4 linked regions of the Pelodiscus sinensis genome follow. The protein of the gene in region 3 binds, or shares a complex with, the protein of the main gene of each other region. Links are inferred from orthologs where the notes say so. Each region holds a gene or a part of one and is shown on either strand. Other genes may lie near its edges. The genes, in order: CCNC, MED21, MED4 and MED19.

Region 1 (7,943 bases), on a different chromosome or scaffold from region 3:
TCCTATCTTTACAGAAACATCTTGAAAATAAGAAGGAAGCCTATTAAAATTTCATACGATAACTAAGAAATACATGTACAGCTAGTTTATCTTTAAAACCCTCTGTACAACAAAGAGGACAGCTAATCTGGATAATATTTAAAAGACGGTTACTTTAAGTTACATGTTAAATATGTGGAGAGAATGTATATAAATGTTAATGAGAAAATTATTTATTCTAACCAACTGAAATATGGATTCAGACATGGGTAAATACAGTGTGGGTTAAACAGCAGAGTCAAAGATAAAAATGATTACCATTAGTAAAGAAAATCTGCAATTTCCAATATTCTTCTTCTGTCAGAAATTTCAAGTCCTTTTGGCGTTCCTTCAACAGATCTTGCTTATCCAAAATCCATTGTAAACTGGAGAGGGAAAGCAATTTAAAAAAAACTATGCCCAAACATTATGCAATGTCTTCAACTCCATTAGATTGCAGATTACATTTGTGGGAAACCAAGTTGATAGTGTCCCTTTAATCAAGTCTTGCAATAAGAGAGTCATGCTTGTGAAATAAATTTTCATTAGGGTCATTACAGTCAGCTTTGGGGAAAAAACAAAAAGTAAGAGGATTTATTTTAATTTTGTTGCTGAAAACTTTATACAACTGATAAACTATCACTTATTTATGTTTTATTCTATATTTTTCAAATATGAGTTTTTAAAATTCTGTATACTCAGAACTGAACTGCTCTGCAGTCTTCATTCTTGTATAATAATGAAATATGGTAACACTTCATTCTTGACTACTTTATGTACAGGGCTCGCCAAGCGGCAGCAAGTCCCATTCGCCAGCTGCGTGATTTTGTGCTGTTCTGCGTTCTGCGCATGTGCAGATCGCTTTGCACATGTGCAGATCGCTCTGCGCTGGCTCTTCTGGGTTGTAATCTACTCGCCACGGGCAAGTAGATTACATTATTTGTCGAGCCCTGTTTATGTATTTAGTTTAACTTTTGATTTCTCTCTCTCTCTTCTTGGTTCAGTTTATTATTCGACATTGAGTATTTATACAGCCATTCCTTGAGCATTTGCGGCTTTTCTACTGCACTCCCAATATACAACTGCTTAAAAGTGTTAATAAGATGGGATGCTACAATTAGCTTTTTTAATCAGTTTGCAACATTATTACTCAGATGCTTCATACAAATATTTACACATGTACTTCATTTGTGAGAGTCTAATTCTGAGATGGGTAATAATTTTGATGGGGGGGCACTCCAAGATTTTTGTAAGTGGTCAAGGACTGTACTTTTCTATGGAGGAGATGCAGAGCCTGAGATGGAGGTTGGGTGCAGAAGGGAGCTCAGTGTAGGGGATTGGGGTGCAGGAGAGGGTGAGGAGTCTGAAAGGGAGTTTGAGTGAAGAAGGGGGTTGTGATCTGGGGCAGTGTATTGGAGTACAGTATCCAGGAGGGGGTATTTGCACAAGAATAGATTTTGACCTGGGGAAGGGGCATAGAAGGGGATGCAGGGTCTGGGAGAGAGTTGTGACCTGGGATGGAGAGGTGCAGAAAGTTTATGTGGTGATCTGGGGCAGGGAGCTGGGGAGTGGGAGATAGTGGGGTGCCAGAGGCAGACTCCAGCCGGTAGACACTTACCTTAGGTGGCTCCTGGCCAGCGGCCCAACAGGGATGCCTGCCACAGCCCCAGGCTGCCCCAAACAGCCTCCATGTACTGCTCTGTACCATGCACTCCACCTGGGGAGTAGAGACTTTGCACTCTGTTCCTGTCGCAGGCCAATCATCGCAGTTCCCATTATCTAGAACTAGCCAATGGGAGCTGATGATTTGCATGAAGGCAGGGGCAACATGCAAAGTCTTCCCCCGTCAGAGGTGGGCAGCACCTAAAGTAATTTTGAGCAGCCTTGGGCTACGTATAAATCTAGAAAGTTCACCTATGTATACCTACATTGGAGTGAGATGGAAAATTAGGCATTTATTGGTAAATAATTGTTGTGCATTTGAGCATCTCCATTTATTATAATCAGGGTAGCCAAGTGAGTAACGAACAAAATAGAAGAGAAAGGAAATAGCTAAACTGCAGTTGTCATGAAAATTGCTACTAAGCCAAAAAAAGTATTAGCTGTTTTAAATATGTAGACATAAATATACTCTAACTCCTAAAGTAAATCAGATAGGTTTTTATTTTATTATTTATAAATATTTGCATTTAAGTCATTTTAATTAACAATAAATTATCAATTATAACTCCCTATGGATCCTATTTTAAATGGTCATATCCCTGTTTTTGCCAAAAGACATTCCTCTCCCATCACACTATTCTTCCTTCTGTCACAAGTTTTAGTGTCACACTCTGGATTTCCTTCTCAATTGCTTGGAGAATTTTTTTTTTTTTCATTTTGTTTTGTCTGTTAAAAAACCCACATTCTCTGGCTCACAATTTGGATGTGCCAAAACCGTGGAGAGGGGAGAAACAGTCATTTCTATTAGGATTCATAAATGATTGTCATTGTCCACTCCTCCAACCCCACTTTACAGCTTTCCACGTTAGTTTAATAAGTTTTCTATGGCCTTCGCTTTAAAACAAATAATGCAGTGGAAACGGGAGGAGGGGGAGAATCCGAAGCGAACTTGAATTGCACGAGCAATTCACCGGGTTAAAGAGCGCCTGGATGGGTGTAAAAGCCCGGGCCACCCGGCCGTGGTCTCCACAGCCCCTAGCCCAGCTGGCTGGCCAGTGGCCACCCCGACAGCCGGGCACCGCCTCCGCCCGGCCCCGCACCCCTCCTGCCGCAGCAGGCGCCCCAGGGCAGCCCCGCGCCGCCAGGGGCCACTCACTAGTGCGAGCTCTGCCAGAAGTTCCCTGCCATGGAGAGGGGCGCGGAGGCGGCTGCTCTGTGTCACGCTACCGAGGACCCCGCCGCTCAGCCCGGCAGCAGGAGGAGGAAGGAGGCGGCGGGAGCCCGGCGGTGTCCTGGCTCCGCCGACCGGCGGCGCACACTGCCGAGCGCGCCAGTTCCCGCGCAGGCGGGTTCCGCCTGGAAACAACCCCGCCGCCGCCGGGCCAGGCAGAGTCACCGGCAGGAGGGAGGCGGCGGGGACGGCTGAAGAGCGCGGGGGAGGGACAGAAATTCAGCGGAGCCCTGGTGCACACCGCGTGCTGGCCGGGCTCGGGGGGCTGCGGGGCGCTGCAGGCTGGGGCTGCACCTTGCACCGGCTGCTTCTGCTTTCTCTCTGCTGCACCTTGTATCCTTCCCCCGATTTCTAAGAGCAGACGGGCTAAGGCAAAGATTCCCTGCAGCCACCTGAATGGAGTGGTAGGACTGGAAGGGGCCTCCAGAGGTCATCTCATCCCGGCACTCACGGCAGGACTACGGATTATAGATCAATCCTTGGCAGCTCTTAGTCTACTAGCGGTTAAAAATCTCCAGTGCTGGAGACAGATACCTCAACCTCCCTGGATAATTTGTTCCAGTGCTTAACCGAACTGAACATAAGTTTTTCCTAATGCCCAACCTCAATCACTCTCGGTGCAAATTCAGCCCATTGCTTTTTGTTCTGTCCTTAAAGGTTAAGGAGAACATTTTCCCCCTCCCGTCTCCTTGTAACAGCCTTTAATGCACTTTCAGGCATACGTTCACTTTCTAATTGCACTCAGGTTACTATCTGTAAACCAGGCAATATATATATATATATATATATATATATATATATATATGGCAAGCAAGGGCTTGTATTTTGTTGCAAATTCTATTTCTTTTCTTACATCATCATCCATTCCTCCCACTCTAGTTGCCTCTTTAGCCCACCTGTTGTAGCCATCGGATACCTAATGTCTGACAGGACAGGAATTATGCAGTGTTATTGTAGCCCTCAAGCGTTTGAAACACATAGAGCTGTGCTTCAGGATGGGAACTGCCTTTTTCCCCCCAGCTTCAGGTGGTAGCCGAGTTAGTCTATACCAGATTATTAGTTGTTTTTTCTCCCCTCCCCCCAATTTGCCTACATAGTGCCTTGCTTAATGGGACAAGCAACAATAAAAGTAGACACGGTGTTTAACTTTCAGGATTGTGATGCATATAGCTCATTATAGGTACTATTACAAACAAATAAGAATAATAATTAGCTTTCTAGCTAGCATCCAGTATCAAGATATCGTGACAGTGATCCATAGATGTCAGAAGTGGCTTTTTTCTTTCAGCTTCACTAAGTGGCACACATTACAAACCATACAAAATACTGATTGAAAAAATTGTTTTCTTTACAAGCAACTCACATATCTAGCCACGTGGGTCTAATTTCACGTTCAGGGCCATAATTTCCAGATTACATCCAAGAAAATTTGTGGTGATCAGTTCTGGTTTGAGTAAATTTGATATAAGTAAATTGGGAGGGGTTGGGTTTTTTGGCAGATTTTGTTTGTTTGGAAGGGTGTCAAATTGTTGTTGATTGTGAACCTAAGATAATACTGTAACAATTATTACAGGTATTTTCATATATCATTCTAATTTTGGTTATATGCAAGAAGTATTAATTTGTCTACAAAGTGGCTGACTGCTATTTTGTACTGTTGTTAACACCAAAAAAAATCAATTCTTTAAATTTTACCTAAAAGTAGTACCATAAACATTAAAGTTTATGGTGCATCATCTACATATACAATAAAACTATTTCACCCCAGCATGTACCTTTCAGGAAATTGATTTTCTGACATATCACGTTGTTATTTTTATTATTTTATGTGTTACCATAAGATCTAGCAACTGTCATCATGGATCAGGACCCCATTGTGTTAGGTGCAGTACAAAAACAGAACAGAAAGAAGCCCCAAAAAGTTTACAATCAAATTATAAGACAATATGCTAGGATATACACTTTTAAAACACAAAATAGTACATGGTAGACATTATACCTCAAAAGAAAAATCAAATAAATCAAATTTTAAAGATAGATTAGATTAGATTAGATTAGATTAAATAGTGTGGGTTTTGCATAAGAAATCAAAGGTGGATAATAGATAATAAGCAGGAAAACTTTTCCAGGGTACTAACAAAATTAAGGGGGCAGGTTTTGACTCAAGCTATGGCTCTTTAAATTAATTTAGTGGTAAAAAGTGGCCACTAAACTGCTCTTAGCAGGCATCTGATTATTTCACCACCATAGCTGGCTAACCACTACTCCCTCCTGGTTCCCTAACAATGGTTGTAGACTAGGGATGTAAAATCCTGTTTAATTGGTTAAACAGGTAAATGCACTGCTGCCATTGTTTTAACTGTTTAACTAATTAAAGGGAGTGTGGTCAGAGGGGCTCTAGTCCTTCTGAAGTGCCCCTTCCCCCGACTGACTGGGCTCAGGCTAGAACAGCCCCTGCCACAGGCAAGGGTCCTCCAGCCTAGCTGCTTTCTGCCCCCATATGTGGGCTGCTGCTGAGATTTCCGGCCACCATGTAGGTGTCCCTGCTGTAACGCCTGCCCCGCCCACATGGGGGAGGGCTCGACAGGGCTGAAGCAGCCCTCTGCCCATGGCTGGGCTACAAGCAGGGGGACTGCTCCTGGGTACAGATTAACCGTTATCTGGTAAGCATCCACCATTAAGATAATGGTTTAACCAACTACCTGTTAACATCCCTAGTGTGGACATGCTGGATCCTTTCTAGAGAGTGCTGCTCTTCAGAGATCTCAGACCTACAAACCCTTGGGAGCCATTAAAAGCCAGTGGCAATTACAGTCTTGGGAGCCCTGGAAATTAAGCAAGCTCAATGCTAAGTCTTTTGCACTTTCTCTCTACTCAGCTGCTTTGAACAGAGCTCTGGTGCAACTAAATGTCTAGTCAGTATGTACAATAATGGGATAGGTTTGGAAGGCAGCATTATAATTTACTGCAAAAGAAATATAAAACAAATGGCATTATGCTGTGTCTGTACCTTGAACTTCTCAAGAAAGCAGCAAATAGCACAGAATGCAGAAAAATAAGTGCTGTGTTAAAGCACTTGAAGTAGAAAACAGCATCTGATGAAGAAATGTGAGAGTATTACCCATCACATATTGATTTACTTATTTTGTTTAATTGATTGCAGTATAATTCTTGTTAAGAAACTGAGTGATACTCAAAGTCAAATGAGAGACTGTTCCCCCATGTCTGTATTATTTTTTTTGGTTGTTTAGGACTTGATTATTTGCCCTTCCATGGCCAATCTTATCAGGCTCTACATCCATTTCTCCAAGTAAATGCACAGCAGTTATCACTCTGGTGTCTGATTGTCTACTGCACAGGTAATGTTTCCGTTATAACTGGTTCATAGTCATCAATGCTTCTGTTAACCCATGATCCTCCTTTGCAAAGAGATTCTGTAAAAATGGCAGGGCCGTAACAAAGGCGAGGCAAGTGAGGCACTTGCCTCAGGCGCATAGCTGAGAGGGAGCAGAAAAGACAGCTACTATGCTGTCTTCACTCGTGCCTCGTGCCACATCAGCACCCCTGCCCTGTGAAAGGAAGGTGTTGAGGCCTACTCAGAATATGTCAAATGAGCACCAGTTTAATTGTAAGTGTAAAGGAAAGGCAGCATTGTGAGATATAGGAGTTGTAAGATGAAAAAACCAAAATTTGATTGGATGACCAACAGTAACCCCGCTTTTAGACTGCAATATGCAACTCAGACTGCAATATGCAACAAAGTGCTAATTACCCCAAATGGAGCAGACGAAAGTTTTGAAAGGGCAGAATGAGACAACAAAAATCTAACGTCAGCAATTGTCAGGCGAGTGGAGGAATACTGAAATACCGAAACAGGGTATATAAGGTTGGACGGAACAGACCAAGAGTGGATGAGTTGCGAATCCAAAAAAGCTAGGTCTGATCAACCAGGGCTCCCTTCCGGGTGCTGAATCTCGCTGGCACACATAAGCTCCAAAAGAGGAACAACACCAATAAGTTGCAACGAAAAAATCCAAAAAAGGAAAGACATAATGAAAAGAATATCTCTTGAATCTAAACAATGCTTCTATCTTTCTTTACGTGAGTATTATATATTTAACTCCATAAATTGTTTAAAGGTAAATCTGGAGGGTATATCTGTAGGAGGAGTTATTATTTCTTGTTTTTTAACTATGCTGTTTTTCTACTTTTTATTTGTATATTACACTGTCTTAAAAGAATCAAAGATAGTGAATTGACTTAAATGGAAAATTAATTATAAAGTAAATAGAAAAATAAAAATATTTGTTTGACCCTAAAAAGAAATATTCCCCTGTCTGTGGTTTCAAATCCTTTAAAGAACCAAACCTGGTTACCGAAACGCCCATGCCAAGGACGGTTTTGCCTCAGGCACCAAACTAGCTAGTTGCAACTCTGAAAAATGGCATTGTCGTGGTCTATATTTATTGTCTCTCAATAACTCCCAGATTCTGGGACTTTTCTTAGTTATACTAAGGCTCTTGAATGCTGCTCTGGCAATTAAAAAGGGTATTTTAAAAGTATAGACACAACCTGTGATGAATGGAAGAGGTAACACATTTTCTGGACATTCCAGTCATTCAATTAGGTAATATATTTTCGCAGTAGTGGTTAACTCTTTAAACCTAAACCTAATTGACCTGTGGGCAAGGGTTAAAACCGTAGACCGTATGTCTTAGAGAGTCCCCAGGCATGCTAGGGAAGCAGGAAGTAAGTTGTCAGGAAGCCAGGAGAGCCAATGGAAAGAAATTATGTGCTTTTGAAATGAAAGCCGTGATCTTCCTGTTCTTGTTGTGTGACTCGAGAAGAGCCTGGAATACAGGAATTAAGCCAGGAAACCAAGCATGGCGAATTCAGTAACATCCTAAGGAAGGACTAAATCTTGGAACTACAGTTATGTGAGTAGAACAGAGAATAGTTAGTTAGATGCGATCAGGTTATTTTCTTAATTTTGAGTTTGTTGGACTTCTCTGTGCTTAGCACATATAACTAC
Region 2 (7,358 bases), about 170 Mb from region 3:
CTTATTCCTCGTGGAGAGAGGACTAACTCTTCCGGAAGAAGCCCTATTTTCTGACGCTAGACTGTAATATACTTGTGGAAGAATGCACATGCAGCGTAGACGCCCAGCAAGTTTCTGCGCAAGAACAGCTGTTCTTGCGCAAGAAGCCGCCAGTATAGACGTAGCCTAACTGAATAGTGGTACAACCACATGAAATCTTAGTGGGTACATGACTATTTGATAGTCCCTGGGGCAGGGCCAGCAGCCAGTGTGCTCCCTGCCCCACTCCCAGGGAGTCCCCTGACATTCCGTACTGCTGACCAACTTAAATGTATCCCCCAAATTAAAAAAAACATCGTAAGAGAACCAAAAAAGGGACACCATGGCTTAACAACCAAGTAAAAGAAGCAGTGAGAGATAAAAAGGCATCCTTTTAAAAGTGGAAGTTAAATCCTAGTTAAGAAAACAGAAAGGCGCATGAACTCTGTCAAATCAAATGTAAAAATATAAGAAGAAAGCCAAAAAGGAGTTTGAAGAACAAACAGCTAGCCAAAAACTCAAAGAGCAATATCAAAAAATGTTTAAGCACATCAGAAGCAGGAAGTTTGCTAAACAACCAGTGTGGCCACTGGACGATCAAGATGCTAAAGGAGCACTCAAAGATGATAAGGTCATTGCGGAGAAACTAAATTAATTCTTTGCTTTGGTCTTCATGGCTGAGGATGATAGAGAGAGTCCCAAACCTGAGTGATTCTTTTTAGGTGGCAAATCTCAAGAACTGTTCCAGATTGAGGTGTCATTAGAGGAGGTTTTGGAACAAACTGATAAATGTATCAGTAACAAGTCAAGGGGACCAGATGACATTCACCCAAGAGCTCTGTAAGAAGTCAAATGTGAAACTGCAGAAATATTAACTGTGGTTTGTAACCTATTCTTTAAATCAGCTTCTGTACCCAATGACTGGAAGATAGCTAATGTGACACCAATATTTAAAAAAGGCTGTAGAGGTAATCCTGGCAATTGCAGACCGAGAAGTCTGATGTCAGTACCAGGCAAATTAGTTGAAACTATAGTAAAGAATAGACTTGTCAGACACACAAATGAATATAACTTGTTGGGAAAAGGTCAACATGGTTTTGGTAAAGGGAAATAATACCTTACTGATCTACTAGAGTTCTTTGCCATGGGTTAAGAGTTAGTTGTCTTGGGAAAAGAAGGAAGGTCCTCTCGTGGAGTGGTAACTGGTTAAAAAACAGGAAACAAAGAGTAGGAAGAAATGGTCAGTTTTTAGACTGGAGAGAGGCAACTAGTGGTGTTCACCAAGGGTCTGTCCTGGGACCAATCCTATTTAACCTACTTATAAATGATCTGGAAAAAGGGGTAAATAGTGAGATGGCAAAATTTGCAGAGGATACTGAAATTTTTCAAGATAGTTAAGAACAATGCAGACCGTGAAGAGCTTCAAAAGGTATATTGGCATTGGAAAAGGGTCACAAAGGGTCACCAAAAATGATTACCGGGGGTGGGGGTTGGAATGGGTGCCATATGAAAAGAGATTAAAAAGACTGTGATTTATCAATTTATAAAATAGGAGAATAAGGGAGACTATGATAGAGGTCTATAAAATCACAAGAGGTATGAAGAAAGTGAATAAGTTATTTACTTCTGACTATAACATAAGAACTAGGGTCACCAAATGAAGTTAATAGGTAGCAGATTTAAAACAAACAAAAGGAAGATTTTCTTCATGCAGCAGTCAACCTGTGGAACTCCTTGCAGGAAGATGTTGTGAAGACCAAGACTTTAACAGAGCTCAAAAAAGAACTAGATAAATTTATGGAGATTAGGTCCATCAATACTTATTAGCCAAAATGGATAACAATGGTATTCCTAACCTCTGGTTGTCAAAGTCTGGAAATGGATGACAGGAGAGGGCTCACTTGATGATTACCTATTTTTGTTCAGGTAAGTGAGCTCATCATGGACATGGGCACCAGCTTCGTCCCCACCTTGCTGTCTCTGACACAGAGGCAGCAAGGGGGAGGATGCGTGTAATCAACAAGATTTAAACGATAAGCATAGGTTCAGTGGTTAATTGTGGAGTGGTCTACATGATGACATCCCTACTTCATAGATCAACTGGCAGGATCAGTGACTAACTAAGATGCTAACATCAGTACACTCAAGTCCAGGACATACATTTGGTTCCTAAATCATAATCTCTGTCGGCTGCTGCAGAGATAAAATGTTTTCGCCCTTTTCCTCAGCCACATGGGCAGACGCTGCCCAGCCTTTTACTGGTGAAATTAAGTGGGGAAATTATTGTAATCAGTGATGGCGGTGGGGGGAGCAGTGTCCTCTCACCAGCACCTACCACCGAGGCAGAGTAGATACATAGATGCATTCCCCACGGCGGCCTCCTTTTAGCCCCATACCAGCCATTCCAAGAGTGAGCCGAGAGACCGACTTGAAGAGCGCACCGAGGCAAAGGGCCTCTGGGAGCGTCTCCCTCAACAAGCGGCCTCGCCACAGGCACAGCCAGCAACAGCGCCCAGCTCCCCCGCTGTGGACGGCGCGCGCTCAGCGTTGGCGCGCGGGCTGGGACAGGTCAGTTCCCGGGCGGCGCGAGCTCAGCGCGGGGCGCTTCTAAAGCGGGGAGCGGATCCCAGCTGAGGGACAGAGCTAGGCGCGAGGCGCGAGACACAAGCCAGCCCGCCCCCTCCCCCTCCGGAGCTTCGGGGGGCGGGGCGCGAGAACAGCCGAGAACGCTTCAAAGCCCAACGGCCTCCCTAACTGTAAATCGGCGCCATTGTCCTCTCCCCCCCCCCCGAGTCCCAGGTTTGTGACCCCGCCCCCGCCTCCAAGCCGCGGGGAGAGGCTCGCGAAGCGGCCCGAGGAGATGCGGGGAGCGACGCCCAGGCCCGCACCAGCTCCCGCCTCACCGAGTTCACCGCGTCCTGAAGCTGCGTGAGCCGATCCGCCATGATGCTCCCCTGCGCTCCCCGCCGCCCGGCTCCCAGCGCCGCCTGCCCATGGGACAGAGCCCGAGCGCGGTGTGTGCGTGGTTCTCTTTCGGGTCCGAAGGGCGGCTCGGGCCCAGGGGACGCCTCGATCGTCGCTCGCCCCCTGCCGACTGGGAGGAGCCGCGGCAGCTGACGGGACGCCCTGCGGAGGGAAAGGCCAAAGGTGGCGTCCACTGGGCAATGCAAAAAATTGTTGTAATTGCTGTCAGTGAGTGCTAGGTGGGGGCGGGGGCTGAGTGTACAGGGCAATGGCCAGCGTCCTGGGACAAACAGGGACAGAAACAAGGGGGGCCCAGGATTGTTTTAAATCCACTCCCCTCCTCCCACTTTATTATTAAACCTTTTTCTTGCCAGATGTTTTTGCAGGTGGGTGGGTCTAGACTGGCAAAAACTTGCCAGCTGTCTACACTGGCCACTTGAATTTGCGCAAGAGCACTGACTTTGTAATGTACAAAATTAGTGCTTCTTGCACAAATACTTTCCCGCTCCCGCTCAGGAAAAAGCCCTTTTGCGCAAGAATACTTGTGCAAGAGGGCCAGTGTAGACAGGAAAGAACTGTTTTGCGGAAAAAAGCCCCGATGGCGAAAATGGCGATTGGGGCTTTCTTGCGCAAAATAACATCTAGACTGACCACGGATGCTTTTGCGCAAAAGCACTTTCTGCACAAAAGCATCCGTGGCAATCTAGACGCGCTTTTGCAGAAATACTTTTAACGGAAAAACTTTTCCGTTAAAAGTATTTCCGCAAAATCATGCCAGTCTAGACGCAGCCAAGGAGTGTGACACAAGCAAGATTCTCAGGTCCTAAGCCTCTCAGTGACAAATGTAATGTTTTGTGATACACCATTTGGCCCACCCCGCTTAAGCAACAGCCCTGAGCTAGGATGGAAGCAGAATGACTATACTAGAATCTCAGCTCTTTTTTCTACTCTCCATACTTCCAGAAAAAAACTGAAAAACATGCCCATGGAATAAGTGAGTTGTGCCTGTGAGGGGAGAGGGTGCAGGGAAAGGCAGTCAGAGGAAGAAGAAGAGGGCATGAGGGAGCACTCCATTTAGCAATCACATTTTCACCTCATGGGTGCTACCACAAGTTGCCTGTGCCCATGTGGTACCCTAATTACTAAGAAAGCACAAGGCAAATAAAAAGCACTAATCATTCATTATTGTTAAAATAATCTCACAATTTTAAAGGCAATCTCTCAATTTTTTGCTGTTGGGATTGGCAAAGCTGCTTGAGTATGTTGTTGAAAGCATAGTTGTGCATGTAGGCATGGAATCTTAGAGCTAGTCAACACTAGAAAGTTAAGGTGGTTTATCCATATGGGTTAGGGTAGTGAAAAATCCACACCCTTGAGCAACATAATTAGGGCATTTAAAGTCCCTCTGTAGCCACAGCTAGGACTACCAAAGCATTTTTTCATCAAACTAGTACTGCTTGTTTGGAAGGTAGATTGCTTTTGTCCATAGGAGAATCCCCATTGGTGTGGGTAGTGTCTACAGTGACACAACTGTTGCATTTTAAGTCTACCCAAGCCCTTAAAAGTTGGGGATGGAAGAGACATATTAGGGCCCAAAAGATTGTCTCCTACTATATAATTACTTTTATATTTAGTTTCAGAGGTCTCATGTACTGTGGTTTCCACCTCTTTCCTTTGGAGATGATTCCACGGCCTATACATTTTACTAAATAAGAAACTGTTTCCAACACTGAGTTTACATTTTAGCTATCTTAATTTCTTCTCAGTACTCCCACTTTTACTCCCTGGCACTATTATAAACAATTCTTTACCAGCCTTGAATTTACAAATATTTGTAGACTGCTGTCACAAATCCTCTTTAATTCAAGCAATATTGCTTCAATATTTTTCTTCATAAATCAATCCTAACAGCTCTCCAATCATTTTCTTCTCTAAACTCCCTTCAAACTATCAATATCTTTCTAGTAATGTGATGCACAACTGCACAGAAAGATTCTAGAGTCACATCAGATCCTTAGAGAGTTTTGATGTACAGCCCAGAACTAGTGACCTTGTTTGTAGAGCCCTGAAAATCTGTAGATATTCACAGCTCATTTGTGTAGATATGGATGTGGATAAAAAAATTGTGTCTAGAACTCTGCAAATCTGTGGCTATCCACTTTTTAACTGTGAGTTTTCACATACACAGATGTCAATGCAGATATCTGCAACTTATTTTTGTGGATACAAGTGCAGATACAAATTTTGTATTCATGCAGGGCTCTCCTTGTTTGCTTCCATGTTACCTTGTCTAACTTGTTTAATTTACAGTCTGTCCTCACTGATGATTATATGCAAAAACATGTAGCAGAAAAAAGTGCTGTACCTTAAAAGCAAAGTTATCATTTCTAACCGAGACTAAGGAGAAATGTTATGTCTAAAAGTAATACTGAAGACCCTACATATATGTGTATTATTAAAATTCCAGGTATGTTACTTAACACTTTTTTTGCATGACTTAATTCTTTTGCAAGAGAAATGTCAAGTTAAAACTAAAACACAAGCCACACTGTTTATCAGTTGTGAGTAAAACGAGATTAAAATCAACTTCTGCAATTCTGAGAACAGATAAATATCAGAAATTTTGAACCAACCAGAAACATTAAGATCTTGCATGGTAAGTTTCAGCCCAGAGTATCCAAACTGCCATTCTGTTTATGGCATACATAGAAAGCATTTCTCAAGAATAGTGTACTGTCGGTAGACTTAATCCTGCCTCACTTAAGGGGACTGGACTATGATTCTATCAGTTCTGAGAAAAGATACTCTAGGAAAAGCAAGCCTATGCTGATGAGATTCTTATTTTACGTCAGTTAACATATAAAAGATGTTATGCAAATCTATAGAATAATCATATTGGATATGACCAAAAATTAATGTAGCACAGTATGCTGTCATCCAAGAATGGCCAATGTTAGATACGCTAGAGACAATAAACAGAACAGGCAATCAAGTAATCTATTCCCTGTCATCCATGCGCAGCTTCTGACAACAGAGGCTAGGGACACCTGGCTAATAGCCATAGATGGAGGTATCCTCCATGAATGTACTGTACCATAATTTCTCATTTAGCACTACAGATGTGTTTCTGAAAATGTTTGTGCTAAGCGAAAACATGCTATGCGGGGTCAATTTTCCCATTAAAAATGATGGAAAAGGTGGGGGTTGCATTTCAGGTGGTGGTGGCAAAGTCAATTTTTTGTTGGTGCTCAGTCATCAACGTCAACATTAGATATCTAGCAACACAAGTCACTGTGGTTTGTTAAAACATAAAGATAAACATGTGAGTGAGTGGAGGAGCACTGTGACCACGTGTATTCATCCGCTCGTGTATTATCACTGTTTTCACCAACTTATACCACCGCGCGAAGTAGTCCCCACTTGATTATTTTCGTGTTATTTCGGGGACGGTCATATTATTCAAAAAATGTTCCCTAAAAAAAATCGTGCTATTGCGAAAACGTGTTAAGCGGGCACGTGTTAAGCAAATAATTACTGTATCTAGTTCTTTTGTAACCCTTTCATAGTTATAGCCTTCACAACAATTCTGGTAAAGAATTCCACAAGCTGATTGTGTGTTGTGTGAAGAAATGCTCCCTTTTGTTTATTTTAAACCTACTGGCTATTAATTTCATTTAGTGACTCATCATTCTTGTGTTATGAGAAGGAGTAAATAACACTTCATTATATACTTTCTCCACACCATTCATGATAGTATAACCCTTTAGTGGTCTCTTTTCCCAGCTGAAAAGTTCCAGTCTTATTAATCTCTTCTCATACAGAAACTGTTCCATACCTCTAATAATTTTTGTTGCCTTTTTCTGAACATTTTCCAATTCTAATATATCTTTTCTGAGATGGGACAACCACATCTGCATGCAATATTCAATATGTATTTATATAGAGGCAATAAGAATTTTTGGCCGATTATCTATCCCTTTCTTAATGTTTCCCAATATTCTATTCATTTTTTTGACTGCTGCTGCACATTGAGTGGATGTTTTCAGAGAACCACTCACAATGACTCAAAATTTCACTCTTAAGTGGTAACAGCTAATTTAGACCCTGTCATTTTATATGTATAATTGGGATTATGATTTCCAGTGTGAATTACTTTGCATTAATCAGTATCGAATTTGATTTATCATTTTGTTGCCCTAGCACGTAGAATTTGGCTAACAATCTCATGAGCAGAGACAAATCACAATAAACCGCCATCCCTCCTGACAAAGATTTCAATCTCCCAAACACTTATGTAGGACCTGTCTGTACAAGAAAGTTGCATGCCTAAGGTGTGAATTTAAACTGTTACAGTGCAAACCTCTGTGTGATTTCAG
Region 3 (7,217 bases):
GGCTGATTTCAAACTCTATTTTCCCTATTTGCCATCAATCTGTATTTGAATTTCACACAGTTCCCAACAGATAGAATCTGAATAGATCCAATTTTTGTCTTTGTATTGTTTTCAAGAATCACTGTGCTCCAGTGATAAAGTTGAAACATAATTTGGATAGTATTTTTTAAAATAAATTAAATTGGATTTAGATTTTTTTTTTAAAGAATGTGAATTGCTCTTTACATTTTAGAACTATCTTTATAGAACCTAATTATTACCTGATCTTGGTAGGAACAATTTTTAGACTTTTAGTATAATTATTTAATAAAGCGTAATAGGCAACAGTTAAAATTAAGCAGCCTGTCAATTTCTGTATAACATAAAGGCTCTGATCCTAAAATCTGTTCCATGTTGGCAGACCCTTATTTCCATAAATTGTGATACTGACAGCATGGGTTTCACATGGATACTAGTATATGCCCCCACAGATGACAGAATCCAGACCACGTGACTTTAAATAAATTTAGGCAGAAAGTGAACAAGTTCTGTCTTAATAAGGGATGTTAAAAATTGTGTAGAACAGTAACTGTGTATCCGCTAAAAATCTTAGCAGTGACACAGTTAGTTAAATATGCTGCAGGCCCTGCAATATAAAGCTTAGCTTTATACTACAGAGCCTGCATCAAAACCTCCCCAGGAGCGGAGTGGGTAGCTCTTGCCTGCCTGGCTGCTGGGGCAGAGGTTTTGCTGCCCTGCTGTATCAGCTAATTGATTCAACTCTATCATTTCTAGTCTTAATAACAGAAAGTACCTTTGACTTGAGGGCTACGTCTACACTGGCATGATTTTCCGGAAATGCTTTTAACGGAAACGTTTTCCGTTAAAAGCATTTTTGGAAAAGCACGTCTAGATTGGCAGGCCGCTTTTCTGCAAAAGCACTTTTTGCAGAAAAGCGTCCATGGCCAATCTAGACGTGCTTTTCCGCAAAAAAATCTCTGCTGTCTACACTGGCTCTTTTGCGCAAAAGTTTTTCGGAAAAAGACTTTTGCCCGAACAGGAGCAGCATAGTATTTCTGCAAAAGCACTGACAATCTTACATGAGATCGTCAGTGCTTTTGCGGAAATTCAAGCGGCCAGTGTAGACAGCTGGCAAGTTTTTCCGCAAAAGCAGATGATTTTGCGGAAAAACTTGCCAGTCTAGACACGGCCGAGGTGTTTGCCAAGTTATTTTAAAACAATTATCTCAAGTCAAATTTTGCCCCGGATTTAGGTTTTATAAAAGCAAGCAACCTGAGGCCAAAATAAAATATTGATTAAATAAAAAATGGAAAGCTTGGTTTTATAGAACATTCCCTGTAACACTTGCATTCCAAAACATGGCAGTCTGAAAAGAAACTGACTAAAACCAAAGTGAAACTGATCAGTGCATTTTCCCAGCCATAGCCCCAGAAATTGAGATAAATACAAAAAGTATTCCATATAAATAGGAAAATACATTCGTTTATCAACTTAACTTGAAAAGGTAATCTATAGAGAGCCCCTGCTTCTCTGGAAGGAAAAAGACTATGCCAAAGGACACCAGTTGCACCTTGGATATCAGCACAGTAACTTTCACTGAATAATTAATGTGGGGAAATTTCTGTGGCATGTGGATAGAAGTGAAATAAAGAATGCCAAGCATATGTGGGTGATTAAATGGAGGAAAGGGTTACTGAGGATCAGTTTCAAAATGTATTTCATTATGTACTCTAGGGGACCCTTTAGTGTGCACTTGCTGGGTCTCTATATAGACCAATTAATGTGCACACTACCTCCAACTAATAGGCCACAGAAAGGCAATACAGAACAAGGCACAGTTGTATTTTGAACACTTATCAGTATTTTGGCAAGGATCAATAAAATAGACAAGATTTTTAAAAATGCTTGTCCTATCCCTGCCTGTTGTTTACTTACACTGTAAGTGCTAAACTTAAAAAACAACAAATGGTCTGGTAGCACTTTATAGACTAACAAAACATGTAGATGGTATCATGAGCTTTCCTGGGCACAGCCCACTTCCTTAGTTGACGGGAGTTTTGTAGGTAAGTGCTGTAGATCAAATAGACGTCTTAGATGTCTATAGTAATATATGCAACCGACGTTTCAATGGTTCATTTTAAGTTACCTACTTTACTAGCCACTAGACTAAAAAACAGCGCCTTTATTACAAATCCCGCCCACCCCCCGAGTAATGCTTTTGAGGTTGGTTTCTCGGACGTCCAGGGACAGTTCTGAGCCGACCTGATTGCAAGCCGACAGAGAACGGTGCATGTCAGTTTCCACACAGGGAGGAGTTAAAGCAGCGCTCACGGCAAGGCCATGCCCGGCAGGGAAAGGGATTTCGGTAAGTTACTCGCACCCTTTCTCCGGCTTCCCGAATCGGACCGCTAGCGGCCGGGCCCCCGTTCTCGGGGCTGAGCCCCCATCCCTAGGGCACCTCGCCCCGCCCCGGCGGGGTCCCACCTGGCCAGGGGCCTCTCGGCGCTGCCTCGCTAGACAGGAACCGCCGGGTCCCGGCCGCGGCGGCGCGAGTGAGGCCGAGCCGAGCCCGGCCGGGGGCGCGCGGCTACCTGGCCAGCAGCTCCAGATCCTCCAGCGCCGCCAGCAGCCTGTCCCGCGTGCTGCTCCGCTCCCCGCCCGCCGCCATCGCCGCGCCCGAGCAGCAGCCCGCCCCTGCAGCGGCCCGCGGACGCAACGCCAAGGGCCGGCGACAGCGGCATCCGGCGGCGGAGGTCTGAAGCGCAGCCCCCTGCGGAGCCTGTGCCCGCGCCTGGGGCCGGAGACAGCAGAGCCGGCCTGGGCGGCAGCAGGAGCTCCACAGACTCCGCCTGAGGCGCGGGCCCCGCTTTGCAGCTGTCTCAGCAGGCCCAGAGAGAGAAGCAAATTCCTGCTGAGGGACCATTGGTTTGGGGTCGGCCTCCCAGTGCGCAGGGCCCAGCACCTGCCAGGCAAGGCTCTGTGTCCACCTGTTCAAAAAGTGCCTTTCCAGCCCTGGCGGTTGCACAGAACAGCGGGACACCAAGGCTTGGCGGACAGTGGAGGCTTGTGCCAGGCCTGGGCTGTGCCACAGAGTTAGCTGCCTTGCATGCCCCTGGGCATGCCCCTGTCTGTGCTCACACCTGTGTAAGTGCCCCATTATGACAGTGTAGTAACACCTAGAACCAGGGTTAACCTATTGAGGCTGCTACAGCAGGAGTAGCGAGACTCTGTCAACCTAACAGTCATCCAGAAGCTAGTCCACTATGTCCCACCCTCTCCCTGCAATAGTGTCCACTCTGATCACAACTTTAAATTCCACTGCACAGGAGACACAGAGATCAAAGCCACCATCTGCCTATCTCAGTGGTGGGCAACCTGCAGCCCACAGGCCACATTTGGCCCACTGGGGTTACACTTCTGGCCTATGCAACTGTGGGAGAAAAATCAAATAACTCCAACTGTGTCTAAGGAGGGATTGTGCAGGAAATCAAAAGTCTCTAAAAGAAAACTGCTGTAAGGGTTAAAAGTTTTCCAGGCCTCTCTCCCTGTAACAGAGAGAAATCATCTTAACTTTAATCAAGACCCTTACAATGCCTCCTATCTCAACTTCATGAAGACTCCTAGTCTGTCACAATTTGTCATGTAAACTCTTATCTTTGTCACAGTTTGCCTTGTAGCTCCTCACTCAGGTTATCATATGCTTTTGTACTGTAAAACTTACTTCTAGCACTTCTGGTGAGAACAGAGTACTTCTGCTGAGACTTTGATATGTTAAAGGAAATAATCAACAACTAAACTGTCTGAACATACTGTATAAAGGATCCCTGAAACTCTCAGGGCTGCTGCTACTCTCACTCCGGTAGCTGTCAGCCTGCATGCATGCATAATAAAGTTTTCCTTCAAGATTTCTCTCCTGCCTCACTGTTTTGACCTCCAGCCTCGACCCTTCTGCGGACTCTGTACCCCAGGGGAGCGAGATTTCCCCAACACAACCCATGTTTGCCCCTCTCCACACAAGTGCTTCTTGTGCACTGGGGGCATTGGAGCCCCACATTTCTTTCTCCTTCCCCGCCCTCACAATACTTTTGGAATGCCACAAATCTTCTGATTTGTGCTCCATCACCACTTCTCCCACTTCCTCCCAGAGCTTGAACATGTGAAACAGCTGTTCAGTTGGATCACTTGATAATTATCTGTTCTGTTCATTCCCTCTGGGGAATGTGACACTGGCCACTGTCAGAAGATAGGATACTGGGCTAGATGGACCTTTGTTCTTAAAGATACGTGTAGACCTCCAGGATCCCAAAATAGCTAACCCGTGTCTTTTAAATGTGCCTATTATTTGAAAAAAATGAACACGCTATTCCAACATCCCTGTAACCCTCATTGCATGGATGTTTCAAAATAGCATGTTATTTCGAAATTTGGCACTGTGTAGACATGCCAAATTTCAAAATAAGGTACACAATTTTCATAGCGCAAATTGCATATCTTATTTCGAGTTCAGGGTGCTGTGTAGATGCACTCTAAGGCTACGTCTACATTGGCCCCTTTTCCGAAAGGGGCATGCTAATTTTACAGGTCGTAATAGGGAAATCCGCGGGGGATTTAAATATCCGCCGCGGCATTTAAATAAAAATGTCCGCCGCTTTTTTCCGGCTTTTAGAAAAGCCGGAAAAGAGCGTCTACACTGGCCCCGATCCTCCGGAAAAAAGCCCTTTTCCGGAGGATCTCTTATTCCTACTTCAAAGTAGGAATAAGAGATCCTCCAGAAAAGGGCTTTTTTCCGGAGGATCGGGGCCAGTGTAGACGCTCTTTTCCGGCTTTTCTAAAAGCCGGAAAAAAGCGGCGGACATTTTTATTTAAATGCCGCGGCGGATATTTAAATCCCCCGCGGATTTCCCTATTACGACCTGTAAAATTAGCATGCCCCTTTCGGAAAAGGGGCCAATGTAGACGTAGCCTAAATGTCCTGCAGCCACTGGTTACAATGTGATCCTTAAAGTCATTGCTCATTTCTTGGGCTTAGAAGTGGTGCTCTGACATTTGCAGCTACTCTATGAACCTCAGCATCAATCTAAAGTTGTTTTCCCACTGTTTCTTAGCACATTGGTTCTCAACCTTTCCAGACTACCATACCTCTTTCAAGAGTCTGATTTTGTCTTGTGTGCCCCCTCACTTAAAAATTGCTTGCTTACAAAATCAGATATAAAAATGTAAGTGTCATAGCACACTGTTACTGAAAAATTGCTGACTTTCTCGTTTTGTCTGTATGACATTTTAATTTGTACTGACTTTGCTAGTGCTTTTTATGTAACCTATTGTCAAAGGCAAATACCTTTGTGTCGATGTATCTCCGGGGTATATGTACCCCTGACTGAAAACCACTGTTTGGCAAACTGTCCTCAAAGAAATTATATATATTATACTTTCTGCAGGTCTGCAAATCCAAGAAAATAGTGCATCATATATTTGTAATGTGCATAAAAAGAGTGTAGGTTCCATGTTCTGTCAAAAATGGTAGATACCAAAAAAGTGTCACATGGATTTGTGGGTTTAAAAAAAAAAGGTGAAAATCATGGAATATGGATGGCATTATAGGATGGAGAAAGTTATGCGCTGGGAATATGACCTCTAGCTCCCAGAGGTCCGTGGGTGAGTTGTTTCTATTCTACAGCGCATTGCAAACATTTCAACACAAGACATCGTGCCAGACAGATGTCCATGACACACCGCAAGATGTCCATGACCTTACCCATTGTGCCACTGAACTTTGTGTCAGCACAAGCACTCCAGGTGAATACATGCAGCATTTGACACAAGCAATCAAGTACACACCAGCACAAAGGATATACAAACTTTGTCAGTTGTATGCCAATGGAACTTGGGTCAGCCAAAGTTTGTAATGTAGATATGACCTCAAAAACAAGAAATCAAAGGAAAAGAATCCACAATATTTTAACAATCTCATCATTTTTAAGCCCGTCGTCTGGCTGTTTGATGCCTGACTCATGATTTTTGAACACTTAGGGTTGGCAATATTGAGGATGCGGTGTAAAACCACAGAAACTGTCAGGAAGAGTAGGGGCAGCACTTAGAATTACTTTTACCTTAATGTTTTAAATTTGACTAGCTTTCAAGTTGATGGTTTGAACAACTGAAAATGGATATACAGTTATGGACTCCATCATGCACCTTACTCCTGCGCAAAACCCTGGGCAAATCAATGGGATTCTCCACAAGTGCAGAGGTCTGACCATTTAGATCAGATTGCAGAGTAATTAGATACAGAACATGGTTCTAATCCTGAGGACAATCAAACCACATTTTGATAACTTTAAAAGTATTAAATTACAGTAGATGACCGTGATGCTGCATATCATGCAGACAGATTTCTGGGGCCTGTATGAAGCCCCCCTTAAGTTAATATGGTTACTATGTACCTAGAACAATTATTGCAAACAGACCTGGAGACAGAAGCCACAGGGTGGGTGTGAAGTAGAGAGAAACAGAGATGCTAGGGAAGAAGGTCTCTGGGTACTAGAATATTATTCTTTACAGCACATGGAATTAAAACCAGAAGTCCTCAGTCTGTCCATTGCTCTGCTGTCAGCAAATATGAAACTCACTAGCAACATGGCTGTGTCTAGACTGGCAAGTTTTTCCGCAAAAGCAGTTGCTTTTGCGGAATAACTTGCCAGCTGTCTACACTGGCTGCTTGAATTTCCGCAAGAACACTGACGATCTCATGTAAGAAATCAGTGCTTCTTGCGGAAATACTATGCTGCTCCTTGTCCAAGACGGAACATCAGAAATGGCTGCCCGTCACAGGGAGCCATAGCCTGTAATACCTCTGAAGCTGGTATAGGGGGCTCTGTCTGTGAGGTGGAGTGTTTTCCAAATAAGGGCATGTAAATTAATAATCTTCCCCTGCTCGCTCCACCCATTGCAGTAAAAGATCAGCCAATGGGCTGACTGGTGCTCAGGCCTGCTACTCCACCCACTGCAGCAAAAACCAACCTATGGGGTGATAAGTTCACAGGCAATAAAACAGGCAGGCAGCCCCTCTCTCACTGGGGATTCGCATTGAGTGAACGCCTGGCCTGATCACCCAGACGCCTTGCACCCCCCACTCTCGAGTCTTACTGAGTGTACTCCGAGTTGGTCGACCCGAGTGGAGACAGTTTATGAGCATGCGACTGGTACTTGTGTTCCTG
Region 4 (7,895 bases), on a different chromosome or scaffold from region 3:
CTCCCCCGCATGTTGGTGATGGGCATCTCCATAGAGCACTCCCAGTGCCATGCTGAGTCGGCACCTCACCGCAGACTGCTGCTGCTGCTCGCTTGAGAGCTGCCCACGCCTGGGTGCTCGGGGCTGTGCCGGTTCTGAGTCAGACAGACAACCCCATGAGGATTCACAGTGGCAATAAGGGACTGAGTCAGGACAGGATTCCTCAGCCCGGGGACCAATCGGAGCAGGGGGAATGAAGACTCAGAACTTTTGGCCTGTTTTACACTGCCCCAAAGAGCATTCCCAGGCGTCCCCCCAACAGCATGTGGTTTCAACAGGACACATCAGTTTCCTACCAAACCCCCAGATATTTCAATCTGCAAATGCAGCCCTGGTGTCTCATCAGAGCTGTAATACAGATGCTTAGGGTCTCCGTTCCTCTCTGGGCCAGGCTCCAGCGCCCACGGTGCACCATGGCCAGGGACTCTCATGGAGTGGGAAAGTGGCATGTCCTGGGAGATATAGACAAACCAGGGAGCCTGTTCTATGCAAGAGGGGGCATGAGGCAACTGAATTGTAGCATCCAAAGCCACCACACCAGCATTTCTTAAATCAAAAATCTTTTGAGTCTTGAATTCTAAATAACTACACCCCTCCCATTCTCCACTCCCCAGGAAGGGGTCACACACAGACACAGGGCCCTACCCTCTTGAAGGAGTCTCTCTCTCTCTCTCTCCCTCCCCCCTCCCTCTTTTTGGGTGGGAAAAAGCTTATTTTTCTGCCTGCCTACTCTAGGTGGGACCAGCAGCATCCAAACCCCTACTCTCCCGGGCCTTTATATTAAGACAGAGACTCCAGAGCATGGAGGTAACCAGGAGAGGATCAGATACATTTCAAGCCCTCTCCCTCCCCGGTAAGGTAAGCATGGACTGGGAGCACTGACTGCTGATGGGGAAGTGAACCACAAGTTCTTCCCCCTTGTAGTCACTTACCTTCTTCTTTTTCTTCTCCTTCTTCTTCCTCTTCCTCTCAGGATCCTCCTCCTTTTTCTTCTTCTTCTTCTTGTGGTCGGAATCTGAAGGGGTTTCTGCAAAGAAAGCCAAGATCTCCCTTTGAGTGAGCCCCTCTTGGAGATGGCAGATGGTTGACCTATGATTTTACTGGGGTCTGGAAAAGATTTGGTGGGTGCTGCTCTCTCTCAGAGAGGGGACTGATAGATTTGTGGAAGGCAGTTTTTACCTGGGGGAACAGGATCCTGTGTGCGGCTCTGCTTGTGCTTGTGCTTATTTTTCTTCTTGGGTGGCTGGATGTGCATCAAGCGACACTGTTCTGGCAACTGGTAGAGAGAAAAATTAGGGTAGATGGGGAGGGAGATGATCTTTGGAGAAATTCTCCCACCACTACATGTTCCTTGGTTAATCAGCAAGGATTTTTTGTTTTCTCCACAGACCCCTCTGCCTCATCTCACCCAGCCCAAACAGAGTCCCCCCTGTCCTGACTCCCACCCCAAAACTACCCTCCCACTTCCTATAGCTTAGGAGGAAGCTCACCGGGCCGGTATGCAGGCGGAAGCCAGTCAGCATGGTGCCAGTGATGGGGTTAAAGGAGCTGCTGCAGATGGGTGGTTTCTCGATAAGGGAGCGCAGGCTGCTGTTGTCGTGCGAACCTGGTAAATCGATCATTCCTGGCAGGTCAGGCAGGAAGTTGCTCAGCTTCTCCTTCACCTTCTTGCCGCAGAACTTGTTGTAGGAGTGTTCCAGGTTGTAGTGTGTGATCAGGTTCGTGCTGCCCGTCAATTCCATGTTGCCTGAGCAGGGACCAGGGGAGCCAGGTTGTACATTTGCTCAAGGCCATGTGGTTGGGCACTCTGTGAACAGGCCTGGGAGCCTGGGCTCCTGACTTCCCCTCCCAGCTCTGCCACTGGCTTCCCCTCTGGCCTTCAGCATATTAGTTTAAGCTGTCTCCAGCAGCAAGCTTGGGCTGGCCCTTGCCTGGCTCAGCACAGTGGGGAGACTTCATTACTATCTGCAGTGCACTGGGCTACAGGTGCAGCAGACCTCAGCCCGGCCTGCTCAAGAGCAGGGGCAGAGCCCCTCCGCTAACCAGAGCGGCTGGGACACGGCAGCGCCGCACCACGGGCTGGAGACTCACGTGGCTGCCTGGCAACAGGGGAAGGAAACGGGATTTAGCCCCATTAACCGCATCAGAGCTGGACTGTGGCCCAGCCCCTGGGGATCCTACATGAGCAGCCAGGGCCTTGGGTGGGAGCAGCCTCCCCCATCCCACAGACGTCTGCCTCCCTCCCCTGGGCACCCCCCACCGCCCTGGGGCAGCACTGTTCCTGGGGCAGCACAAGAGTCTGGGAAATGGCTCATGCAGACCCAGTTGGGAGCAGGCTCTCTCTCCCCTCCCCCCCCGTCTCCATTGGCTACGAGCACCCATATTCCCCCCCCAAACATCTTCTTGCATCATGATTGGCTCCCAGAACTGCCAATCCAGTCATTCATACACACTGCCTCCCCCATAGGTTTCCGACTTCCCCATTGGAGGAAAGGGCTGACAATCCAAAAAACCTCTTCAGCCCCGCCTCCACCAGACCGTCTGTTTCGCCTATTGGGCTGGAGAAAACAGGCCCAGCCATTAATAGGCGGGGAGAGAGGCCAATCAGAAATCTGAGCAATCCGATTGGCCAGACCCCTAAAGGCCGCCCCCTGAACTCGATTGGCCAAAGTCCGCAAAGTCCCGCCCCCTGCACTCGGTACCTGGGAGTTCCCGCATTAGGTAGAAGGGGCCGCTGGCAGCCGCGGCCTTGCGGGCGGCGTCCTCTGCGCTCTGGGGCGCGGCGGCTGTGGGTGGCGGGCCGGCGCCGGGACCGCCCGGCTTCCCCGGCCCGAAGCCCAGCGCGGCGGCCGCGGCAGGAGGCGGCGGCTCAGCCCCTCCGAAGAGAGCAGAGAAAGGCTCCATCGTCCCAGCATGCCCCGCGCGTTCTCCTCCCATTGGCTCGGCTCCTCGAGGAGTTGACAGTCTGCCTTGTCCTCATTGGAGGGCGGCCTGTCCTATCTATGGCTGTGATTGGCCCATCTATTTTGAACTCCGCCCACTGTTTATCTCTGATTGGACAAAAATGCTACATTCCTCTGCCTGACGTGATTGGTTTTCTCCCATGCGCACTGTGATGACAATCAGGTCTGGCCTTTACGTCATTCCAAATTCCGATATCTGATTAGTCCCTCGCTCTACAAAGGCAGGCCCCCTTGAAATCCATTTAGCCAATTGGATGTGTCTAATTTTGAGGGGCAGCGGTATCAACCAATGAGAATGGGTCTTTCTTACAGTTCCTGTCCTCATCACGATTGGCATTAAGATTAGCCAATAGGGATCGGTGGAGCGTGCGCGGTCGTCCCGGCGGTGCGGGGCTGCTCAGTGGAGGTGAAGATGGCGGTGCTAGCCCCGCTGCTGGCGCTGTTCTACTCGGTGCCTGGGCTGTGCCGCTGGCTGGCGCGGCCCTATTACCCGCTCTCGGCGCTGCTCTCCGCCGCCTTCCTGCTGGTGCGCAAAGTGCCGCCGCTCTGCCAGGGGCTGCCCACCCAGCGCGAGGATGGGAACCCCTGCGACTTCGACTGGGTGAGTCCCGAGCCCCCCTGCCTCCCCCCCCCTGCGACTTCGACTGGGTGAGTCCCGAGCCCCCCTGCCTCCCCCCCCCCTGCGACTTCGACTGGGTGAGTCCCGAGCCCCCCTGCCTCCCCCCCCTGCGACTTCGACTGGGTGAGTCCCGAGCCCCCCTGCCTCCCCCCCTGCGACTTCGACTGGGTGAGTCCCGAGCCCCCCTGCCTCCCCCCCTGCGACTTCGACTGGGTGAGTCCCGAGCCCCCCTGCCTCCCCCCCCCTGCGACTTCGACTGGGTGAGTCCCGAGCCCCCCTGCCTCCCCCCCCCTGCGACTTCGACTGGGTGAGTCCCGAGCCCCCCTGCCTCCCCCCCCCTGCGACTTCGACTGGGTGAGTCCCGAGCCCCCCTGCCTCCCCCCCCCTGCGACTTCGACTGGGTGAGTCCCGAGCCCCCCTGCCTCCCTCCCCCCCCCCGCGACTTCGACTGGGTGAGTCCCGAGCCCCCCTGCCTCCCCCCCCCCGCGACTTCGACTGGGTGAGTCCCGAGCCCCCCTGCCCCCCCCCCTGCGACTTCGACTGGGTGAGTCCCGAGCCCCCCTGCCTCCCCCCCCTGCGACTTCGACTGGGTGAGTCCCGAGCCCCCCTGCCTCCCCCCCCCCTGCGACTTCGACTGGGTGAGTCCCGAGCCCCCCTGCCTCCCCCCCCCCTGCGACTTCGACTGGGTGAGTCCCGAGCCCCCCTGCCTCCCCCCCCCCTGCGACTTCGACTGGGTGAGTCCCGAGCCCCCCTGCCTCCCCCCCCCCTGCGACTTCGACTGGGTGAGTCCCGAGCCCCCCTGCCTCCCCCCCCCCTGCGACTTCGACTGGGTGAGTCCCGAGCCCCCCTGCCTCCCCCCCCCCTGCGACTTCGACTGGGTGAGTCCCGAGCCCCCCTGCCTCCCCCCCTGCGACTTCGACTGGGTGAGTCCCGAGCCCCCCTGCCTCCCCCCCCCTGCGACTTCGACTGGGTGAGTCCCGAGCCCCCCCTGCCTCCCCCCCTGCGACTTCGACTGGGTGAGTCCCGAGCCCCCCTGCCTCCCCCCCCTGCGACTTCGACTGGGTGAGTCCCGAGCCCCCCTGCCTCCCCCCCCCCCCCCTGCGACTTCGACTGGGTGAGTCCCGAGCCCCCCTGCCTCCCCCCCCCCCCTGCGACTTCGACTGGGTGAGTCCCGAGCCCCCCTGCCTCCCCCCCCCCGCGACTTCGACTGGGTGAGTCCCGAGCCCCCCTGCCTCCCCCCCCCCCCCGCGACTTCGACTGGGTGAGTCCCGAGCCCCCCTGCCTCCCCCCATGCTATGTCCAGCTGTCCCAGTCCCCTGGCTGGTTCCACGTGGGGCTTCCACTCTGGGGGCTCCGGCTCCCTCCCTGGTGCTTCGTTGGCTGGGCTGGGCGCCCCAATCTGAGCCGGGCTGACTCTGCCCCCCCCCCCATTTCTTTCAGCGGGAGGTGGAGATCCTCATGTTCCTTAGTGCCATCGTGATGATGAAGAACCGCAGATCCAGTGAGTCCTGTTCCCCCGCCCCCATGCCTCCGCGGGACTGTTCCGGGGGCGGAGATGGGGGCGGCATTCCAAGGGCTGCTTTGGTGGGCACGCTTGGACTCCGTGTCGGACCCCAGGAAGGACTCTGGCGTAGGGAGGAGGGCTGGAGGGGGTCTGGCTGAGGAGGCATGTGGCAAGATCAGGGAGGTCCTAGAGCAGCTGGACCTCAAAGCTGGCATGATGAGTTATTTACGTTTTCCTGTAATACATGAACATGGGGTCACCAAATGAAATTAAGAGGTAGCAGGTGTAAAACAAACAAAAGGAAGTTTTTCTTCACACAAGGCACAGTCAACTTATGGAACTCCTTGCCAGAGGGTGTGGTGAAGACCAGGACTTTAAAAGGGTTAAAAAAAACCTAGATAAACTCATGGAGGTTAGGTCGATCAGTGTCTGTTAGCCAGGATGGGCAGGGATGGTGCCCCTAGCCTCTGTTTGTCAAAGGAAATTGGTGACAGGGCAGGGATCACTTGATGATTCCTTGTTTTGCTCTCTCCTGCTGGGGCACCTGGCATTGGCCTCTGTCAGAAGACAGGACACTGGGCTAGATGGGCCCTTGGCCTGACCCAATATTGCTGTTCTTAGGAAGAGACTTTGGGATGGCAGCGTCAGTGCGGGGGGCAGGTACAGGAAGTGGGGCAGTCTGTGTTGGACTGAGAGGAGAAGGTGCTGGGTCGTGAGGTGCAATGCCCTGGTCTATTCCACGTGCACCTCAGCTTTGCCCTGAACTAGGGTGTTAGTCTGGGGTTGACCTCCCCCACTTCCTCTCTCCCCAGTCACCGTGGATCAGCACGTGGGGAACATCTTCATGTTCAGTAAAGTGGCCAATGCGATCCTCTTCTTCCGGCTGGATGTGCGGATGGGGCTGCTCTACCTGACGCTGTGCATAGGTGAGGTGCTGCTGTGGGGCCACGTGGCTGGCTCCGAAGGGAATCAAGTCTGTGCTGTACGCTCGCTACACCCCAACCCAGTCAGTTGCTCCATAGAGCCCATGCAGAGTGGGGAAGGTCCCTGCCCTGAGGAGCTGCCCATCCAACTAGACCAGCCAGACGCAGGGTGGGAGAAAGGGTTCTTACTGAAACACCATTGTGCTTGCTTGGATTTTGCTCACGTGCCCCATGGTGCTAAGTAGTCGTCCCCTCCCCCAGCAAAATGACTCCTCCCTAGACCAGGGGCTTTCAAACTCTGGCACTAGTTGGCTGCATGATGCTTTGTGTACCTGCGCACAGCTCCCATTGGTTGCAGTCCACACCGCTTCCCACTGCTCCCATTGGCCAGCCAACTGGAGCTGCGATGGACTGTCCTGGGGAGGTGCAGATTTTTTAAAAAAATGTGTCTCAGCCAGCTAGCAGCTTGCCCTGAGAAGCTGTGACCCAGAGTTTGAAAGCCCCTGCCCTAGACGACAGGCTGAACTCCTCATGCCCCATCTTGGGTTAGGGATGCAGTCTTTGAGCTTCCTTATGTATTTCAGGGCTGGGGCTCTCAGAGTGCTGACTCTCCACCGTCAATTGGCTTTTTAAATGCAGCACCCTTTTAGGCTGGTACGGGCCCTATCACTTCACGGGGAGGAAGGGCTCAAGCTCCTTTCTGCTGCACTGTCCGAGTGCATGCTCCCCTGCCCCAGAGCGGGGTAACTGCCCCTGCCTCTGCAACTGGGCGGTGCAAACTGCTGCTGCTAAGACCATTCTCTTGCTTCACCCCTCTCTTTGCTTGTCATCTTCATTCCCTGGCCCCAGCCACTTGCACCCCAGGGCCACATTAGCCTTTTTCCCTTTGTTGGCTCCTGTTCCCATTGCGGTCCACAGGAAGCCCTGGACCCTTTCTAGGAGCACTGCCTACTAGCCAGTTCCCCACTGGGTAGCCCTGCATCCGATTTCATTCCTTCCTGCCTCTAGCGCTTGTCTTCATTGGCTTTCAGCTTGTTGAAGTCAGACCAGTTCTCCAATCTGTCAAACTCATTTTAAGTTCTAACCTCCCACCATCTGGGCAGCCCCTCAACCCCAGATCTTCTAAGCACACGCTCTCCTCCGTGTCCAAGGCATTGGTGACGGTATTGAATGCTGTTCCCACTAGTTATGGCCTTGGGCCGCAAACCATTGGCAACCGCTCTTGGTGCGCTCTTTCAACCAGCTGTTTGCCCACCTTCTGACAACTTCCCGTAGGTCACGTTTCCCTAACGTGCTTAGGAGAGTGTTCTGCGGGACCAGATCGTGTCGGCTGCTTCCTCCCACGCTTGCTGAGCCAAGAATCCAGTGTGGGAGAGCTGGATAAAACCTCTCACAAAGCCACAGAGCAAGCGACCTAGTCCTGGAAACCAAATGTCTGACTTCTGTGCCTGCTGGGTCTCCCTGCCCCCTCTCCTCCAATCTGTGTGCAAACCTCCAAAGTGCAGCCAGTCACAGCCTGTGTGCGTCTCCTTTCAGTGTTCCTGATGACCTGCAAGCCGCCCCTGTACCTGGGACCAGAGTATATCAAGTACTTCAGCGATAAAACCATCGATGTGAGTATCGCCTGCCCCTCAACCCTCCCGGCCAACATTACTGTGGGCTGCTGTGGCTTGGGGACCTGCTTGACCCTAAGTTGCTCATCGCTACCCTGACTTCAGGCCACACTGGGACCCCAGGGAGGAGGCACTGGGCTGGCAGGGCTGGGCCGTGGCTCTCCTGGTACCTGAGGTTGCATCTAGCCCTGGCAAGTGGTAGGGATGTGAAGGTTTAACTGGTTAACTAATGAG

The links.
Region 1: MED4 (region 3) and CCNC share a complex: the UniProt entries of both Homo sapiens proteins name them as parts of the mediator complex. The link is inferred for Pelodiscus sinensis from reciprocal best matches to the Homo sapiens genes MED4 and CCNC.
Region 2: MED4 (region 3) and MED21 share a complex: the UniProt entries of both Homo sapiens proteins name them as parts of the mediator complex. The link is inferred for Pelodiscus sinensis from reciprocal best matches to the Homo sapiens genes MED4 and MED21.
Region 4: MED4 (region 3) and MED19 share a complex: the UniProt entries of both Homo sapiens proteins name them as parts of the mediator complex. The link is inferred for Pelodiscus sinensis from reciprocal best matches to the Homo sapiens genes MED4 and MED19.

Annotation. Positions count from the first base shown.
Region 1 is NC_134713.1:70,571,572-70,579,514, forward strand, and holds the start of CCNC (cyclin-C), read right to left. Parts: upstream 3,050-7,943; 5' UTR 2,869-3,049; coding exon 2,837-2,868; intron 405-2,836; coding exon 298-404; intron 1-297. UniProt on the Homo sapiens protein: Component of the Mediator complex, a coactivator involved in regulated gene transcription of nearly all RNA polymerase II-dependent genes.
Region 2 is NC_134711.1:119,852,341-119,859,698, reverse strand, and holds the start of MED21 (mediator of RNA polymerase II transcription subunit 21), read right to left. Parts: upstream 3,149-7,358; 5' UTR 2,964-3,148; coding exon 2,922-2,963; intron 2,777-2,921; exon of another isoform or gene 2,384-2,776; coding exon of another isoform or gene 2,354-2,383; intron 1-2,353. UniProt on the Homo sapiens protein: Component of the Mediator complex, a coactivator involved in the regulated transcription of nearly all RNA polymerase II-dependent genes.
Region 3 is NC_134711.1:288,753,874-288,761,090, forward strand, and holds the start of MED4 (mediator of RNA polymerase II transcription subunit 4), read right to left. Parts: upstream 3,075-7,217; 5' UTR 2,924-3,074; coding exon 2,592-2,923; intron 1-2,591. UniProt on the Homo sapiens protein: Component of the Mediator complex, a coactivator involved in the regulated transcription of nearly all RNA polymerase II-dependent genes.
Region 4 is NC_134714.1:128,612,840-128,620,734, forward strand, and holds the start of MED19 (mediator of RNA polymerase II transcription subunit 19), read right to left. Parts: upstream 3,070-7,895; 5' UTR 2,977-3,069; coding exon 2,742-2,976; intron 1,787-2,741; coding exon 1,530-1,786; intron 1,316-1,529; coding exon 1,219-1,315; intron 1,067-1,218; coding exon 972-1,066; intron 135-971; coding exon 66-134; 3' UTR 1-65. Other genes in the region: TMX2 (thioredoxin-related transmembrane protein 2), read left to right, coding at 3,415-3,603, 5,062-5,122, 5,938-6,051, 7,585-7,661. UniProt on the Homo sapiens protein: Component of the Mediator complex, a coactivator involved in the regulated transcription of nearly all RNA polymerase II-dependent genes.